Linked DNA regions of Lepisosteus oculatus. The protein of the gene in region 1 interacts with the protein of each later gene in a biochemical or structural test. Links are inferred from orthologs where the notes say so. Each region holds a gene or a part of one and is shown in the gene's direction. Other genes may lie near its edges. The genes, in order: map3k1 and map2k4a.

What was found.
Region 2: of the proteins of map3k1 (region 1) and map2k4a, one has a biochemical effect on the other in vitro, tested with the Homo sapiens proteins (7 studies listed by BioGRID and IntAct, with this or other methods). The link is inferred for Lepisosteus oculatus from reciprocal best matches to the Homo sapiens genes MAP3K1 and MAP2K4.

Annotation. Positions count from the first base shown.
Region 1 is NC_090698.1:26,235,903-26,244,464, reverse strand, and holds the start of map3k1 (mitogen-activated protein kinase kinase kinase 1), read left to right. Parts: upstream 1-5,194; 5' UTR 5,195-5,344; coding exon 5,345-5,850; intron 5,851-5,919; exon of another isoform or gene 5,920-6,026; intron 6,027-8,562. UniProt on the Homo sapiens protein: Component of a protein kinase signal transduction cascade. Activates the ERK and JNK kinase pathways by phosphorylation of MAP2K1 and MAP2K4. May phosphorylate the MAPK8/JNK1 kinase.
Region 2 is NC_090704.1:37,382,225-37,390,993, forward strand, and holds the start of map2k4a (dual specificity mitogen-activated protein kinase kinase 4a), read left to right. Parts: upstream 1-5,114; 5' UTR 5,115-5,381; coding exon 5,382-5,514; intron 5,515-6,398; coding exon 6,399-6,434; intron 6,435-8,769. Other genes in the region: tmem220 (transmembrane protein 220), read right to left, coding at 244-376, 1,083-1,142, 1,480-1,603, 1,715-1,775, 1,984-2,013, 2,426-2,554. UniProt on the Homo sapiens protein: Dual specificity protein kinase which acts as an essential component of the MAP kinase signal transduction pathway. Essential component of the stress-activated protein kinase/c-Jun N-terminal kinase (SAP/JNK) signaling pathway.

The DNA of each region.
Region 1 (8,562 bases):
CCTCACACTTCATTGTTGTTGCACATTTTCAGCACAAAGATTGTTAAATAAGAGTAAAATGGAAAGGTAAAGAGTGCTTCTTGTGAATCAAAAAAATCCTTCAAAAGGTTTGCTTTTGATGAGGAACATGCAGTTGACTATTTGTATATGAAAAGCAGATCAGACTGGAGATAATCAAACCACATTGAGTGAAACCATGATTATTTTGGTCTACTAAAATATGACTTGTCAAATCATAACCTATGAATTAATTGTATATTTTATCAACTGAAAGCAAAAGCACCTGAGTTTTTATGGATGTATCCTTGAGTGTTTTCATTTCTGTATTTCATAATATGGGGCACAGCATGTTACAGCTAGTTAGCATTAACAAAATGTTGTTGTTGTTGTTGTTGTTGTTGTATCTAACTCAGTTCTCCGTTTCCAGAAATGTTGAGAACAGCTCATTGACTGTAACTCTGTTAGATAGAAATGTTGAAATAGGTTTTTGACTGCGTTTAAAACTAAAATGAGCCTGACTGTTTTATATGAACAACTGTAATTATATTTTGGATTTCATAATTTGATGCTAATACAAAAGGTAACATCTTAGTTTAAATGGAGGTAAAAATAATTGATTTCTAAAATAAAAAATCACTTTCACGATAAATGTGAAGATAACCTTGTATCTAAGAGTTCATTAATTGCAGCTCAGGGAGGTTGCCAGGCTGTGCCTGGGACACATGGGGAAGCTCTGCGTTAATTTAGCTCTTCTAATGTCTTCAAAGAAAAACTTTACAACCACGAGGCCCACTGAGGAAAGGCAGAGATCACCTGAGAGCTGAACTGTCTTCTACTGTGTAAAAATGATAAAGTTCATAAGGTGTGAAGAAGATCTGATATCTGACAGCACTCATTGATCTTTGACCTTCTTTGCTTCTCTGTACTGTACGTGCCAATCACAGGGCAAGATAGTTAACTGTCTCTTCCAAGCTAATACAAAAGGCATCTTATTATGTTGCAGCTTGTTATAGTGGTTTCTAAACACTGTGGCGGAGTTCTAATGAATTAGGCTAGAATGTTCAATTTCCTGACATTCATATCTGTATTTGAGTAGTGAATGATGCTACCTGTACTCCTGGCAAAATAATTCTATCATGATTTATTGTCAAGGTTAGCAAGGTGCCCAGTCATTAGCATTTCAGCTTTGGTTCAATTCCAGACCTGGGATGTGTTTTCGCCAGGTGCTCTGGTTTCCTTCCACAGTCCAAAGAAATAGTGGTAGGTTAATTTGCTTCTAGGAAAACTGGCTCCAGTGTGAATGAGTTTGTGTCCATATGCCCTGGTATGGACAGGTGTCCTGAACAGGTTATACTCTGCTTTGTGCCCATTGCTTGCTGGGATGGGCTCTGGCTCCCCCACAACCCTGTTTTAGATAAAGTAGTTAGAAAATGGATGGATGAGTAATTTTCTTCTATTTATGCAACTAAAGCTGCCAGAAATATTTCCAATGTAAATTCCCATGGTGCATCAAAACAAATTAAAACAAAATGCAGCTATAACCGAAATGACATTGATATTGGTAATATCTATATGGGATGCCATTTGGTATTGTGGTAGATTTACAGACAACGTTCATTTATTGAAAACTTATAGTATAAATTAACAAAATGTTTCTGTACATTGGCTGCAGAAATTGTGTTACCCATAGAGAATTGCTAAGTAAAGAAAGATGATGTGTCAAAATAATTAACACTTGCATCACTGTACATTAGTAACATACTGTAGGATGGCTACAGGTACAGGACCTGGTTACTGACCTGTACCTTGTTGTTTTATTCTAAATTAATTTTAGTGGCAAAGAAAGATCAAATACTTTACTCTGTTTTATGTGGCAAGCCAAATAATCATTTAACAATATGTCTTAATCATTTTTAGATATATTCATACATTTAAAGACATTTATAACTATGTGTAAGTATCTATTAATATTTACAATAGATCTTAAACTGATTAAGAAGTATCTCAAAATCTATAAAAAAATTAAAGATATCTATAAATGAGTTATAAATATCTTCAAATAGAGTGGTATAATATGATATTGCTGAATATAATAATAGATTTACACATTTTAGATTTTACCTAGCAATAATTTCATTGATCATGCAATGCTGCTTACAGTACAGTATGTCTCACTGCTGTCACCCTACTTATCTGAAGAGAAGAACAATGATATGTAATTGTATAGGGTGTATGGAGATTGTAAACCAATGCCACTGATTAGAAGATTATAAGTCTGTTCTGATGTACCTTATTTTATTCATGTGTTGGTATCAATAATTTTCAACATTTTTAGGCAATCCGTCCAACCCTTACCCTAATGAAGTCAAGACCGGTAGTGCATGCTTTTCCAATGTAAAATTTGCATTGTTCTGCACTGCCTAAAAAGGGGAGTGTTTATGTCTGTAGAGTCTATATGCTACTGTTTGCATAAGAACCCATGACAAACCTCTCTAAACTAGAAGAAGCTATTTTAAGGGTTTATGAGGACCTTTTAAAAGTGCTGTTGTTTACTTAGCAGGTACATGATAGGAATGTCCTCAGTTAAAACCCATCAATTTTAACTTGCTTTTGAGTTATTTTTCTTGTCCAGTCAGTAACACTGTAACATTCTAGTCACTTTTTAAAATAAAAGTGAAAATGTTTTTTTACACTGACATGCATTCTCATTCTCACAATTTTAAGCTATTTTAAAAGATGTAACTACTTATAACTAACACTTTGGAATACAATTTTTTCTCACACTTAATCTTCTTTGTTCCAAAGGTATAAAGGTATTTTTGTTACTGGCCATGAAAGAACACTGCTATATCAGAAGGATAAATGTTTCTTTTTCAAATTACTACCCAGGTTGTTTTCATAGCCTACGGACGAATGAACTTTTAAAAGGTAAAAATATCTAAATTTTTTGCCTTGGGTATGAAACCATATCTCCTGCCAGTGTTCACTCAGCATATATATTTCAAAGTCTTGAAACTTCACTCCTGTTCACTGAAGTTCAGAACAGAAATATCACTAATAAGAATGTCAGTCCTGCTTTTCTGTTGAAATAAGGCTCTTTTCTCCAGACTCTGCTTACAGCGTCTTTAAGGTGCAGTATTAGGAAGAGACAGGCGGTGACAGTGAGAGAATTCTCGAGTCTTTTTGAGCTTTTTACCTCTAGTAGTCTGCGTTTAGAACAGCAGCCCCAGGGTATGCTGGTCCCCAATACAAAAACAAGTACACAAGAGATTTGCACAGTATTCTACTACTTAGGTTTCTATGTCTGCATTTGATTTTCCTTGTACATTCTTGATTTTATCCTATTCTGGTGTCTTTTCTTAGATGAACAATACACTGCGGCCCTGTGCTGGCCTTCAAAAGTTGAAAATTGATGAAACTCAGTCACTCAAAGAGCTTCAATGTCTCAGAAATAACATTTCTGAGTTGTTTTGGTCAATACTTTTGACACTTGAAGGAAATAACAGGTAATATATAGTGTGTTTTTACTTAGGACTTCACCATAAAAACCTAACACTGAGGAGGGAGAAAAGTAATGTATAGCTTAACTGGAATAAGGACGTTATTATTAATTGATGGTACATACAACAGTAATCTCTCCTGACCATAGCTTTTCTTTGTCCATCTGGGTTGGATTACTTGGATTAACTTCCAGATATATTCATCTATCCAATTTCGCCTTTCCGTGAGAGTATGTCTACCAGAAGACTGATTACCCTTTTCACATGTGCAAGGCTTTAAATAAAATAAAAAAATTGAACAAAAAAGGAAACGTCATACCACTCACTCATGGTTAAGTAAAGCGATGTGTCAAACACAAATGTACATTTATATAAATTAAATATTTATACATTTATATTTATAGACATGATTTAAAAATGAATTTTGAAACTAAACAAACACATTTTTACAGCTCAAAAATAAAAACATAACTGTAGCATTTGATTTCCCCAAGTTAGTTGTCCACCACCAGGTGTACTGGGTTTACCAAGTATAAGGGTTTTGTTGTGTAAAGCAGAAAACATCCCATACTCAACAAACAAAAAGTAATTGTTTATCCACATGTTGTTAGGCTCTTTACAACCCCTAGGCAGTTTTATCTTTACTATATAATATATAAATTACTAGTACAATACATTTGGTTGTGGATATTTTGGCTGGATATCCTATCATCATGCAGGCTTGGGTGGCAATATACGGTGCCTCCTAAGAGTATCGGTGCATTTCCCCATACAGTCCTTTTCCGATATCAGTGACACTATACACTGTATAAAATGTAATAGTGGTTAGTGTGGACAAAGGGGCATACAGCTGTTACCACAGGCTAAAGGAGAAAGGTAGTTTGGTCAGACAACAAATATCTTTGCGCGCAACCTTCCGTCAATAACTATTTCTATCTGTGGTACTTCCACATACTGAACCAAGTCTGCCTTTTCTGTTTGTAAGTTTGTTAATCTAAATGGGAAAGATGGTGGGTATTTTATCCTGAATACAATGTACCAGCTGTCAGGAACAACAGGTGAGATTCGTTTGGTAAGCGTTTGAGTTTTAAAATTGGAATGGATTATTATATCACGACTTGAAAAATGACTAATCTTCATAACATTGGCCTTTTGAATTCTAAAAATCAGAAAATGTTCACTCTCCGTCCCACTTTATGATATCAGGTGATTTACAGTGACTGCATATTCTTCAGAGACTAAACGACAGGTGAAATCGAAAATGACACAGGTAACTAACAGTATACCAATGAAATTCTTAGTACAGGTGTAAAAACATTAAGCACCATAAAAATACGAAAATAAAATGAATAAATCTGTTTTTATTTGAATATGGTCTCCAACTAGATACTCATCACATTTGTAACACCAATCCACAAACATTAAAATGTTACCTACTAACGAATTTGTATTACTCTTATAACGGCAATTATTTTTTACATTTTAACTAAGCTTTAGAACTGGTGAACGTGAGCATGTCCTCGATTTAGTAAATACTTTAGCTTCACGGAATAAAGGCAAACAGAACGAATGGCAAGGAGAAAACCCAATACGGTAAACATATCAGATTGTAACTTTTTTTGGCTATTTATAACATTACTCCAGCCTTAGTAACTCGGGTGTCTCACTTTTTAAAGCCCATAAGCAGCAATCTTTAGCTACGCAAAGCACGCTGCCCCAGCTGCGCCGTTTGCGGTAGTGTGTAAACACCAGCAGCTCTCTCGCTCCTCCTCTCCACCTCTCCTCCCCCAGTTCCCTCCACTCCCTCTCCCAAAGAGCCTGAATGATAAACTCCGGGACAGAAAATGGCGGCGGCGGGGAGCCGGACCTCGTCGTCGGGAATAGCAGAGTTAAATAACGGCAGTGGCGTCGGCAGTCCTTCTCAGGGCACCTCCAGCACGGCTGGTCTTCCGAGCAGCCTCGGGCCGGCGAAGAGCGGCTGCGGCGGGGAAAACCCTCAGTGGAGACGCAGGGAGCTGCGGAAAGTGAGGAGTGTAGATCTGGACAAGCCCGAGTCGCTGCTGCTGTCTCCCGAGACCGGGACTGCTCCGATATCGGCGCAGCTGCACTTCTTGTCGATTTCTACTCCCGGTGGGATCCAGGCGACCCTCCTGCAACCCAGCCAGCCGGCTCCGCAGAGCAACTCGCTGCACAGCCGCCCCGTGTCGGACAGCTCGGGTCACGCCGGCGGCTTGTGCGCTGCCGCCGCTCTGGAATTGCTGAGCATCTCCACTCGTGGGAGCTGCGGCAACCACAATGCAGACTGTGGTGCCACGGGGGCTTCACTGGACATGATCTCTTCACCACATAGGTAGGAGATTAAGCCTTACTCCCCTCCTCCTCCCCCCGGAGTCTCGAATTTAACGGGCTTTGCTTTTCGTGTTGTGGGTGTTGTGATCTGCTTTACGGGTGAGGTGGATGTTTGCCACGGCAGAAGTGCAAGAAGCGCTTCAACTTTTCCCGGCGGATGTGATTTCCGAAACTTTTGTGAGTGTCACCACATTGCAGCCTTTAAAGAAGAGTTGATTGTGTGAAAAGCGCCGGGAAGTGAATTGCGATCCGTTTAAATTCTTAGTGGGGGAACGTTAGGAAATTTACGGATTTTTTTGTGTTTTATATCTTGGAAATCGCAATCTCAAAGGCGCAGGCGGCGAAAGAGTTGGTCTCTTTTAGATTGGGAAATGCGCTTTCGGGATGCAATTAATTGTGGAAGAGACCCCGGGATTGAAACACCATTGCCTGGTTTTAAAAATAACCCCGTTTTCCTCTTGGTTTCTAATGTCAGAGCTCAAACTGAAATCTTCTGCCTAATGAAGCCACACGGATACCTAGATACCTCTCCCGCAGCTGAAAGTGGGAATTCAACATTTTACACCGAAGATCAACGAAACAGCGATTGTTTACTTTTAAGGTTAACGGTCCCACCAAACGTTTATTTTAATTATTTCTCAGGTTTGGCACGTCAACCTTTTCCTCGTTAGCCCAAAATACGTGCGTAATGGCTGTTTCCTAGCATTTCTTGAGTCCACGTCCGCATCCTGCTACCTCAGTGACAGAGGTCATGATCGCCTCTACGTTTGAAAATGTGTAACGTGTGGTTTCCAGCCTATCAGCTGGAGCTGTTGAAAGACATTGTTCCGGCTGTTTCTATAGCCAAGCCGGATTTTGTAGTACGTTTCAAGGTATACATGGGGTGTAAAGTCCTTTTTTATTAACATTCCGAGGAAAGTAACGTCTTCTGTTACTGAATCGATTAAATCAAGACGTGGAAATGCAAGATGAGCTATCGGTGATTTATGATGGCTTGCATGGGATTGATAGTAATGTGGTATATTCATACAGTTTAAAAGAGGTCCCGTCAGTGCTTTATTTGTAACTCTCCTCCTCCGGTCTTGCGCCTCAAGCCTGCAAGGTTTCGAGCACGTGAGCGGAGACGCCAGTTTCTGCTGGTGTGCAGCTGTGGGGAAACTCGCAGGAGCGCAGGGCTGTGATTGCCTTTGAGAGAGGGGGGAGAAAGAAGCCAGTTTCTTTTGAAATATGTAACTTTTTTATGTCGTGTAGAACAACAGTGGAGTTAAACAGTGGTACAGGGGGCACCAAGTAATTTCGGACTGCAGAGGTGTGCTAGATATATTTTAATTCTAATCGCTTATAAACGCAGTAGACGTGCATAGAGCGAAACATCTTTTTGTTTTGGTGGAGTTAAACTTTTCTTGCTGTGAAAGTTAAAAATTAATGGGGAAGTCCTTTACTCAGACGAATGAATCAATGTTATGGCGTGAGATGAAGCAGCGAAGCGGTTAGAATGAAGGACTGCGTTTTTGTTGTCAGTGCGGTGAAGGCTTTTTGTAAATCGGGGTGTAGAATTGGATAATATACGGTGAATACAATGCGTCAAGATAAAATGGTGAAAGAGCGGTATTCCAATGTGGTATATCACCTTTGCCTCTGAAAATGTACAACTGAAAACGCACGGGTCCAGTTTCTGCATAAATATAGTTCTAGTTTAGTGTATTGAATAGGGACAGATGGAAAGTGAGATAAAAAGCTACTTTACATATCTCGGGGCAGAACACACCAACCAGATACAAGATGTAGACATAAAAAACATATAAACACATCCCATGGTAAATAGAAATAACAGATGTAATTGCTCAACAATAATGGCATGTTAATAAATTATTAATATAATTTTAACTATTGCTGAATAGCAGAACAGTGAGTAAGCACTTAAAACTATCTGGCATAATGGTTCCCCTTCTGATTATAAGACTTTCTTTAGCCTCACAGGAAGATCATTAAGCTGGTAGAATTAAGTACAGAGCAGCATCCAGAAATGTTAGTTTTGCACAGATATGTTTTTTTGTTGGGAGTCTTTCACCATAATTACCTAAAGATTTTGCAGTTTTAAAGAGTGGATGGTTTAAGTACATGCTTTCTTTAAAATTCAGATAAGGTGGGTCGGAAACCATCTTTGTCAAAGTTTAGACCAGTCCTCCTGGAGCCATTTCCTGCAGTGGGAATGTACTGTATTGTGAACCGATACTATTGTTTTGAGCCAGGTTTCTTTGGGAATGTGGTTTCGTCTGTGTTTATAAGAGTCCTTTTTGAAGTTAAAAGTTCTCAAGAGTGTTTAGTGATAGAGATTTGACATGGGAACTTAATTTAAATGTGCCTTCAAGGCACAAACTCTTTCTTCCTATTTTTAAGACAATTTAAAAAGCAACCAGTATAGTAAATAACGCAGTTCCATGTTTTGTACATGTTCCACTTTGCCCATTTACATACAAAAGTGTCTGCTTTTATTCTAATTTTTATATAACTATGGCTAAAATATAACAGGTGATATTTTTCCCATTAACATTTCAAAAGTAAAAGGTTTCACTAGACATGCATGATACATTTTTCACTAACAACCATGCTTTGTGACATTTGGTTGAAACTATTGGGTTTAATGATCAAAAATTGTGTGTTTAATGAGTATTTTCATTACTGAAGCAGAAAGCATTTCTAATGCTTGTGC
Region 2 (8,769 bases), on another chromosome or scaffold:
TAAATACATTAAGGATAAACCTAACTGTGTAATGCAGTGAGACAAAATATACTTCATGTATGTATTCTACAATCAAACAGGTATCACGTTTGAATTCTCTTTTTAACTTTTGATGCAAAAATGCAAATTGGATTTACTGTGTACATGTCAGGTTATTTACAAACATATTCAGTAATTGTAAACATTGGAACATATTCAGTGGTATTATAAACACAGGTTTATCTTAATATTCTTTCTTGTAATTTAAAGTGCAGTTTTACAATGTGAGGGCCAGGAGGACCTCAGCTCCTTGTTGATGTAGTAGTACAGCCATGTCACCAAAGGGAAAGCTGTGATTCCCACAGCAGTGGAAACTCTTAAGGCTCCAACTGAATTCCTGAAATAGAAAACAAATAACTGGATATGCTGAACCTATTTTAAAATGACTTTTATTGGGCTGGATGAAAACATTACCCAATGTTGTACATTTTAAAAACAGTCAATCGAAAAAGTCAATCTAAAACTTCTGCAATTTCATTTTGACTTCAGTGTCATTAGAAGGAAGCCCAAATTATTACGTATCTCATCACTAAACTATAATTTGACATTGTAGAAAGGAAGTACGATATGTCCCATTTTAGTTTTCAAAAGTTAAGGAACAAGTAAACGTTTATTCTATGCCGAAAAGAGAAGAAAATAAACATAATGTTTCGGCTGTGGAGCCTTGGGTTTCTTCTCTTTTCTGCATGGAATAAACCTTTAGCCTACACATGCTGACACAGCTACCTACTTAAATATAAAAGTATACAATATAAGTAAAAATCTACTTTTTCTATGATTCTTGCCTCTGTTTTTATTAAGAAAATATGGATAAAGAAACAACTTTTGATTGTTTTGAATTCCTTTTAACAGCTATTTTAATATAGGAGAGTAAAGTAAAAAAGGTTTTAACCTTCGGTTAAAGAAATAGATTTAGATGCATTACAGTACCTTTAGATAAAATGAACTGTAAAATGAAGAAACTGCATTAGAATATCTATTAGAGTGTAAACACATTTTAATCACATTTCTCACCAATGAATAAAACAAGAGGAACACCTCACCTTCCTGAATGACGACACAGGATCAGCCATACCACGATTAATAATAATCCAGAGAACTCTCTTAGAGAACAGCAAAAAAAATGATACAGTGATCAACTAAGGTGAGAGAGATTAAAACCAAGTGAAGTGTAACAATACTTCCAAAAATAAAAGTAAAGGGTGATTACATCAATGGTGTATATAACTGTACTTAAGATTACATTCAATTCTTTTTTTTCTTGACCAATATAACTGACATGTTTAATTATATTTTCTTGATAGTTGTGTTTTCAGAACAGATGCCAATCCATTAGGATTTACTAAATAAAACTAAGGAATTAATTATAAAATCAGTCTTTAATATTAATTGCTCAAACCTAAGCCAGAGTTTACCTATGGATAGAAAAGTGACAATTACCTTCCTTCTTCTTTCTGGAAGATATTTTCAGCTTTACTTTTATACAAGGACCATCCCAACATGGCAGCTACAGCAGCACAAATAAGCATATGAAGATCAGATAGTCTCCTCCAGATTAATACCTCTGAAAAACAACACATTCATCTTGATTTTGCAAAGTTACTGAGCTACATAACATAGGAGGGACTGGATCAGCTTTCATGACATAAAAACAGATATCAGGATAGAGTCATACCTGTAATTGGAGGCTTAAGGCTTATCAGAAAACACAAAGAAGCTGGGATTGAATATGCAACCTGTAAATACAAACGCATTTATAATATTGGAAGTCAGGAAATAAAAACAGTCACATTTTACAAATACAGCCAGCAGGTGTCGCTCGATGTTTTTCAGAGGCCATTCAAGATGCATTTGAAGATACGCACTGGTAGAGTTCGTATGCTTTCTCTGAAGTGAAGAATTCAGTTTTATACTTCGTACTACGGTGTACTGTTTAGGACTCACCATCCATATGCCAGCATCGGGGTCATTGATCTGGAATAATCAAAAATAATTAAATTTATTTATTTTCTGTCTAGTTTGAAAGAGCAACAATGATAAAAAATAGTTTTAAAAGTGTTTTTTAAAACAAAAAACGTTTATGCCATGAGAGAAACAATACGTTTTTGGATGTTGAGTTATCCATACCGCATATTGCTCAAAATACATAAAATGCATTCAGAACGATGACATCGAATTCCTTAAGTATGACAGTGTTGAAATATATGTGCTTATGACTTCTAAATTCTAAAACATTAGAATGTATGTAACCAGCCTCAGTACTATTTATTAATATAAACAGCATACAGACACCCATAAAGATATAAAAGAGTTTAAACAAATATATAAAAACAACTGCACTTTAATTTCCAAAACCAGTCACATTTGTCTTTAGTACGGTACTTGCCTGCACATATGCCGCTAAAGCAAAGAAAAAAAACATACATAAATTGCAGCTTCTCCATAATACTTGAAAACACTCCGAAGACCCGCTTTTTGTTTTTCCGTTTTTTGTTAATTCGTATTTCTTGCTCATTTTACTTATTTTCTTCAGTACTTTGCTCAGAGAAAAGAAACTGCCATTATTGAGTTTGAGTCAGATCACATGGACATTTGCAATGCAGTTTGGGAATTATAGTTCCATTAGCTTAGTTACAGAGCACAAATGAATAGTATTGTACTGTGCATTGTGCATTGTGCATTAAGCGAAAGCACAAAGTTGAAAATTTTGGTAGATCTTGTGAGAATACTGTAGTAAACTGTTGTTATCTACTGTTAACAAACATTTAAATAAATGCATATTTATCGAGGTACAGAAGAAAAGATCTGGACATATGTCTTTAGAGGAACAATAAAGAATATTAAAATGCTGTTGTGTTGCTGTTATTGTAACTGTTCTCCAGTTATACTAGTTGGTCATGCACCTGCCATACTACCATGTTACCCTGGCAGACATAAAACCTCAGTGATCCGGACAATGAGCCAGGTCTTGCTCACTGCCATCATAAAAGTGAACTGTGCCTACGCAGGTCCACTCAGCCATTTAAAAAGCTGACTGTTGCAGCCAGTCTTCCACCTTCCTGATCTATTCCCATGCCGCAAGGAGGTCTGGAGGTGATGCAGGAGTTCTTCCTCCATCTCTCCTCCACACCAGCAGGGTCGAGGGGCCTGCCTAGTGCCTTTCATCTCTGTATGAATTTTCTGCTGCCTGGAGTCTTTCTTTGCTCCCCAGTTACATCTTCCTCCTGTATCGGGAGTCTGTTTTCTGTCAGCTGGCTCCTGGAAGACACTGGTGGTCCTGTGCTTCGCTTTTATTGCCCTTCTACTGACTTGCCTGTTCACTTTGAATTTTCATCCTGTAATCCCACTCTGACACCACTAACATTATTGTAACACTGCTCAGCATCTATGCAAGCCCTGAAGATAAAGGATATCTTCTGACTCAGACTGCAGCTCCAAAAGGGTGGTGTGCTTTTTATTTATCTGAAAGAGGCAGCTCAGACAATTGATGGCACCAACACACGGCCCCACAGACTGACACTAACTGCATTAACTCTCTCTCTCTCTCTCTCTCTCTCTCTCTCTCTCTCTCTCTAAAAGGGGCCCTTATACCCCAAGGACTGTGGTGATGTGACAGTGTGGGCAATCTCACACTGACGGTCATAAGCAACCACACCTACTGAACACAGTTATGAGCATTCTCCTCTCAGAAGAGTCATGCAAGAGCCAAAACATCACGCCATAGACATATAGGGATACAGGCATTATTAATATATATTTACATATACACATCTTTACCTAGGCAATATGGCCTCTTGGTACGCTATTTATGGATATGTAGACATACTACAGTACACTTCTATAAAGGCTTTTCTAGTCAATAATGCTGCAGTAAGAAATATAAGATCATATATTGGCCATATACAATTTCTTGTATTAGGAATTTGTCTTTTCAATATACCCCAACTTGCTCTCCGTGAGACATACAGACAGGGAGAGAGGCTTGGGGTCAGAGTGCAGGGTCAGCCATTTTTACAGTGACCCTGGAGCAGTTGGGGTTAAGGGCCTTGCTTAGGGGCCCAATGGGGTAGGATTTTTCTGCAGGCTGAAGGATACAAACCGGCAACCTTCTAGCCACAGGCGCAGATCCTTAACCACAGAGCCACTGCACCGCCCTAATAAAGGGACACATATTCTCCACTACACACACTACTCCACTACTCATCAATACTTTATAGAATTTAGAGAACAAATTTGTATTTACAATGACCCGGAGAGTACTCCTTTTTACAACATGGCATTTGTGTTTCTATCTCTCCTGTCTCCTAGTCTCCAATTCCCTTCTGCTTCAGGACCTCCTGAGACAGAAGGTCAAACTACAGTTCAATAATGATAATGTGGACATGTTGAAAATAAATGAAAGTTCTTACAGCTGCTGTAACTCACAGATACTAACCACTACTTAGCACTGCAGGTCCTACTGTAGTCACACTCCACATTCACACACTTGCCTGTTCAGTCTGAATTGACATCCTGTAATCCCACTCTGACACAACCTAAAATCCCCAAATCCCCAAAAGGAATAAACAACTACAGGGACCCCAACCCCCAAACGGCTACTATTTATAGCAGTCCAGTTATTTTGTTTTTATTGCAGCTATTATAGCTGCTTTGATTTATGTCAAACGTAAGGGGATAAAGGTAGTATTTAATTTTTGTATACGAAAATCTCCAAGTAATTATTCTACATTCAGCACTAAAATCATATTAGGTTGCAGTACTGCCATTTCTGGGTGGGGGAGGAGAGTATAACCAAATCCTTGCATAATTTGAAAATATGTAACTTAGATTGAACAACGGCTTTACTATTTATAAAGTGGGACTAACTACAACTCGCACCGCAAATGTTATGCCTTGTGTGTCTTGGCTCCTTTTAATTCAGGGCTTTCATTTATAGCACTAGGAGTGGTCTGGTGATTACTGTGGAATGGGAAATACTCGGACTTTATCAGACTTTATTGCTTTATTGTGGATTTTGAGGCGCTGTCAGACTACGTAGGCGGAAATTGACGGGCTGGTCACATAGAGTACTTCAACCGAGTACTGTATTGTGTAGTGCTGGTTTCTCAAGCTAGTTGTCTCGTGATTGCTCAATGGTTCAAAACTGAATAGTAGTTTATTATATAAATTGTATTCTGCTATGTTGAGTTTCGTAGCTAGGTGTCCTGCGAGACTTTGAAGGGTTTTAGACTGAAGCGGTGTAGTGCTATATTGAGTTCTGTAGCTAGGTGTCCCTGCCTGTGAAGGGTGAAGCCACTCACTGCATTGCAGCCTCAGTGCTGCTGCTGGAATCAAACACAACAATGGCGACTCCCAGCCCCAGCACCAACTCAACAACCTCTTCCAGCAACAACAGCAATAACGCAGGATCTACATCTACATCACATCAGCACCAGTCCCAGTCTCAGCACATAACAACAGTGAGCAGCATGCAGGGTAAGCGCCAGAAAACAAAAAGTCCGTAAACGTTTTTATTTTATCAGAATAATTGGAGAACATGATTGGTGAAAGTCTCACTGTGTACTCTAGTAATGCTGCACCGTAGCGATGCAGTTTGCATTTCCTTATCGCCACTGTTTGTAGGCCTCTATGTTTAGGAAGCTTTTAATTTACCTCTCCGTGGCATTTCTAAAATCCAGAAGATTGCGAGAGCGAGACGTGTTAGACATCGTGTTAAATCACTTTACAGATCTGGATTTCTATGGGGCGGTTTTCACTGAATGATTTTTATGGCCAAAGGCCTAAATAGTCTAGTTTTATACGGATTTTTAAATTATATTTTTCATTTCTTTTAAAATTCAGTTCCATTTTTTTACATTGCAAATGTGAAAGGTTAAACTCAGGGATACCGCTAGAAAGCTGCAGTGACCTGCTCAATTAAATGAGCTTTGTCATTTCTTGTGTTGTGTTATTTTTGATATTTCAAGGCCTCACGTGCAGTAAGTAGCCTGGTTCACATATACCTATGCTATTGAAGACTACTATGCAGTGCTTATTCTTGCTACAGGTTGTTTAATAATGGTTTTAGTACTAATGTTACGCCGCAAATTAAATAAAAAAATCGAACTCTGAAGCTGTACAAACGCTTTGTGGATTACTGTAGCAATTTCTTTAAATCTCCAGCCAATAAAATATTTAATAAAATGGGCACTGTAGAAAAAAATGTTGCAGATTTCCCTTCCTTTGTGTACATTCGATGGCCAGAAGATTTTATGAACTAATGCGCCATGATAATCATGTAGGCGAGATGAATACAGTCATGATTAATAACACATTGTTGCATTATACAAGGAATAAAATGTTTCATTTAAACCTTGCAGAGACCAACACGTGCTGGAGGTGTCAGAATGAAACAGGTACTTTATTATCTATTTTATAGGAATGTACTGTAGTAATGTTTTATGAACTGAGAAGTAAAATGTGTTTTTAAGTGCCGTGCTGTCAGACACAAAATAAACATCTCAATGTGGCTGCAGTGCTTGGGGATGTTACTAATGCATCTCTGTTGTGATAAAAGCCCTTTTGTATTAAATACTAAGGAAAGAAAGCATTTTATGTTGAAGCTTTTAAAAGAACACATACTGTATCCACTGTTTTTATCAGTTTATACCAGTGAAATAGTAGTCTACTCTTTATTAGTTCATGCCGTATATATTAACTACTTTTATTGTGTAGTATTAATTTCCGTAGGACTTATATGTGATTGAAATGCCAATATTTGCACAGTCAGCACATGGGTAAAATATGCAGGAAATTCCTATTCAAATAAGAGTAGTTGGTGAAAAAGTATTTATGTCCATTGGAATGCTTTTTACCTTGAATTTCCATATTGTTATGTGAAAGAAATGTCTGTGCAACGCATGCAGTATTAATAGATTACTCCCATTTTGTGTGTCCATTAGGTCAGGGGTTGGCAGTATGTTTTTCACTTTTAGTTTATGGCACTGAAGGAAAAGGTGCTGGCAAAAGCTGTTGTTTCATAGCTTAATATTTTGGCTATTGACTAAGTTTGAATTGATTGGAATCCCTTAGGAGTATTGCCAAAGCTTACCGAGCTGCAAGAAATCAAATTGAAGAATGCAGTTTGAGCACAGTTCTGCAATTGCCATGCGTTTGCTGAATTACAAGCCTTGTTAAAAGTGCAGCAGTTCCTTATTATTGCTGTGCAGCTGTGTGGCATAGTTACATAATTGTATCCTGCTAAAAGTCACATGAATGGGTTAGGTGTCCAAGCACATTGAAGATAGCCTACTGTAGATGAACTGCAGATAACAGAGATGGAAATACAGTCCAGGTGTAGAGGACTGAAAATAATAACTAGGCTTAAAGGAGGTAAGTTGAATAAAAGGAGTTTTTGGAAGTAGGTGTTAGTAACAAGCTATCCCATCATATAAGCAAAGCTGATTCTGTGTTATTCTTCAAAATACACCATGGTGAGGCCCTTGTATCAATTAGTTACTAGCACTACTATCATTATAAGTTGGCTTTTTGACCATTGTGAAGAAAGGAACAGCTTGATCTTTAGCTGCTAAGGTACTTTTCATGGGGAATTTTAATAAAACCATGTTGGATTTAATTAACTTCACAGTAGTTCAAAACACAAATTCTACAGTTTCTGCAAAGCTGTAGAATGAAGCTTTAAAGTTTTTGTTATTACTCAGCTTTAATTAATAGCTTGTATTAGTATTGACAGTGCTATTAAACTAGATTAAGCTTTCACATGTACATAAATACAGTATATTTTCTTCAGTCTCGTCATATCATAAGGCCTATACACATCTGACTTTGAAGTGACAGTACATATAGTGGGCATCAGAAAAAAAGCTTGTCACTCTTTATTTTATTTTCTTTTCCAACACAAAATAGATTTGAATATTAAATATGTTTTCACAATGTTTGATTAAATGATCAGTCATGACTGACCATTATGGACATACCTTACTTTGACTGTTGAATAATTGCTTAATCACCTTATTTGTCAGAGAGTTTATTGGGATTTGGCCATTTGACCCGTTGAATGTCTTGTGAAAATCTTGTAAGAAAACAAGCAGGGAAGTACATTTAAAACTAAGAATAGGAGGCACTTCTTTACATAACGTCTAGAACTAGAGCTGTGCAGCCATGTTTTTGATGCTGATAAACCTGGCTTCCTTTAAAAGAAGGAAGACATTTGGATCAATTAGCTACCAGCTACTACTATCTACAGATAGTTAAGTACTAGCTGTCTGTAGCTATCTGTACTAAGAGGGACAGATAGTCTCCTCTCATTTGTAACCTTTCTTATGTACTTATTTTAGACCTTTATTTGTTTCTTAGTTATTTCTGCAGTTGCCGTGTGTAAGCTACTTTATTTCTTGTGATTAACACAATGAAGGCTTCCTTTTGTAATAGTGTGAAAGCTCAGCTGGGCAAATCAATTAAATATATTAAAAAATGAGATCAATGGATTCATTAGCCTTGGGGAAAAAAAGCTAGCCTCTAACCGTTCTTTTCATGTTCAAATGTAGAAAGAAATCAGTATACCCTTCCTATCTAGAGAACAATTCCTTTGTTCTGTCCGTGTGTTGGAAGCTGGACTAAGTCAGCTCACTGTCACTCGTCAACTGGGGGTGTTCAGTTTCTAACCTGGCAAGACATTATAGACAAATTCAGTCTGTCCGTTAAAGACTATGAGTCATGACACCTTGCCAA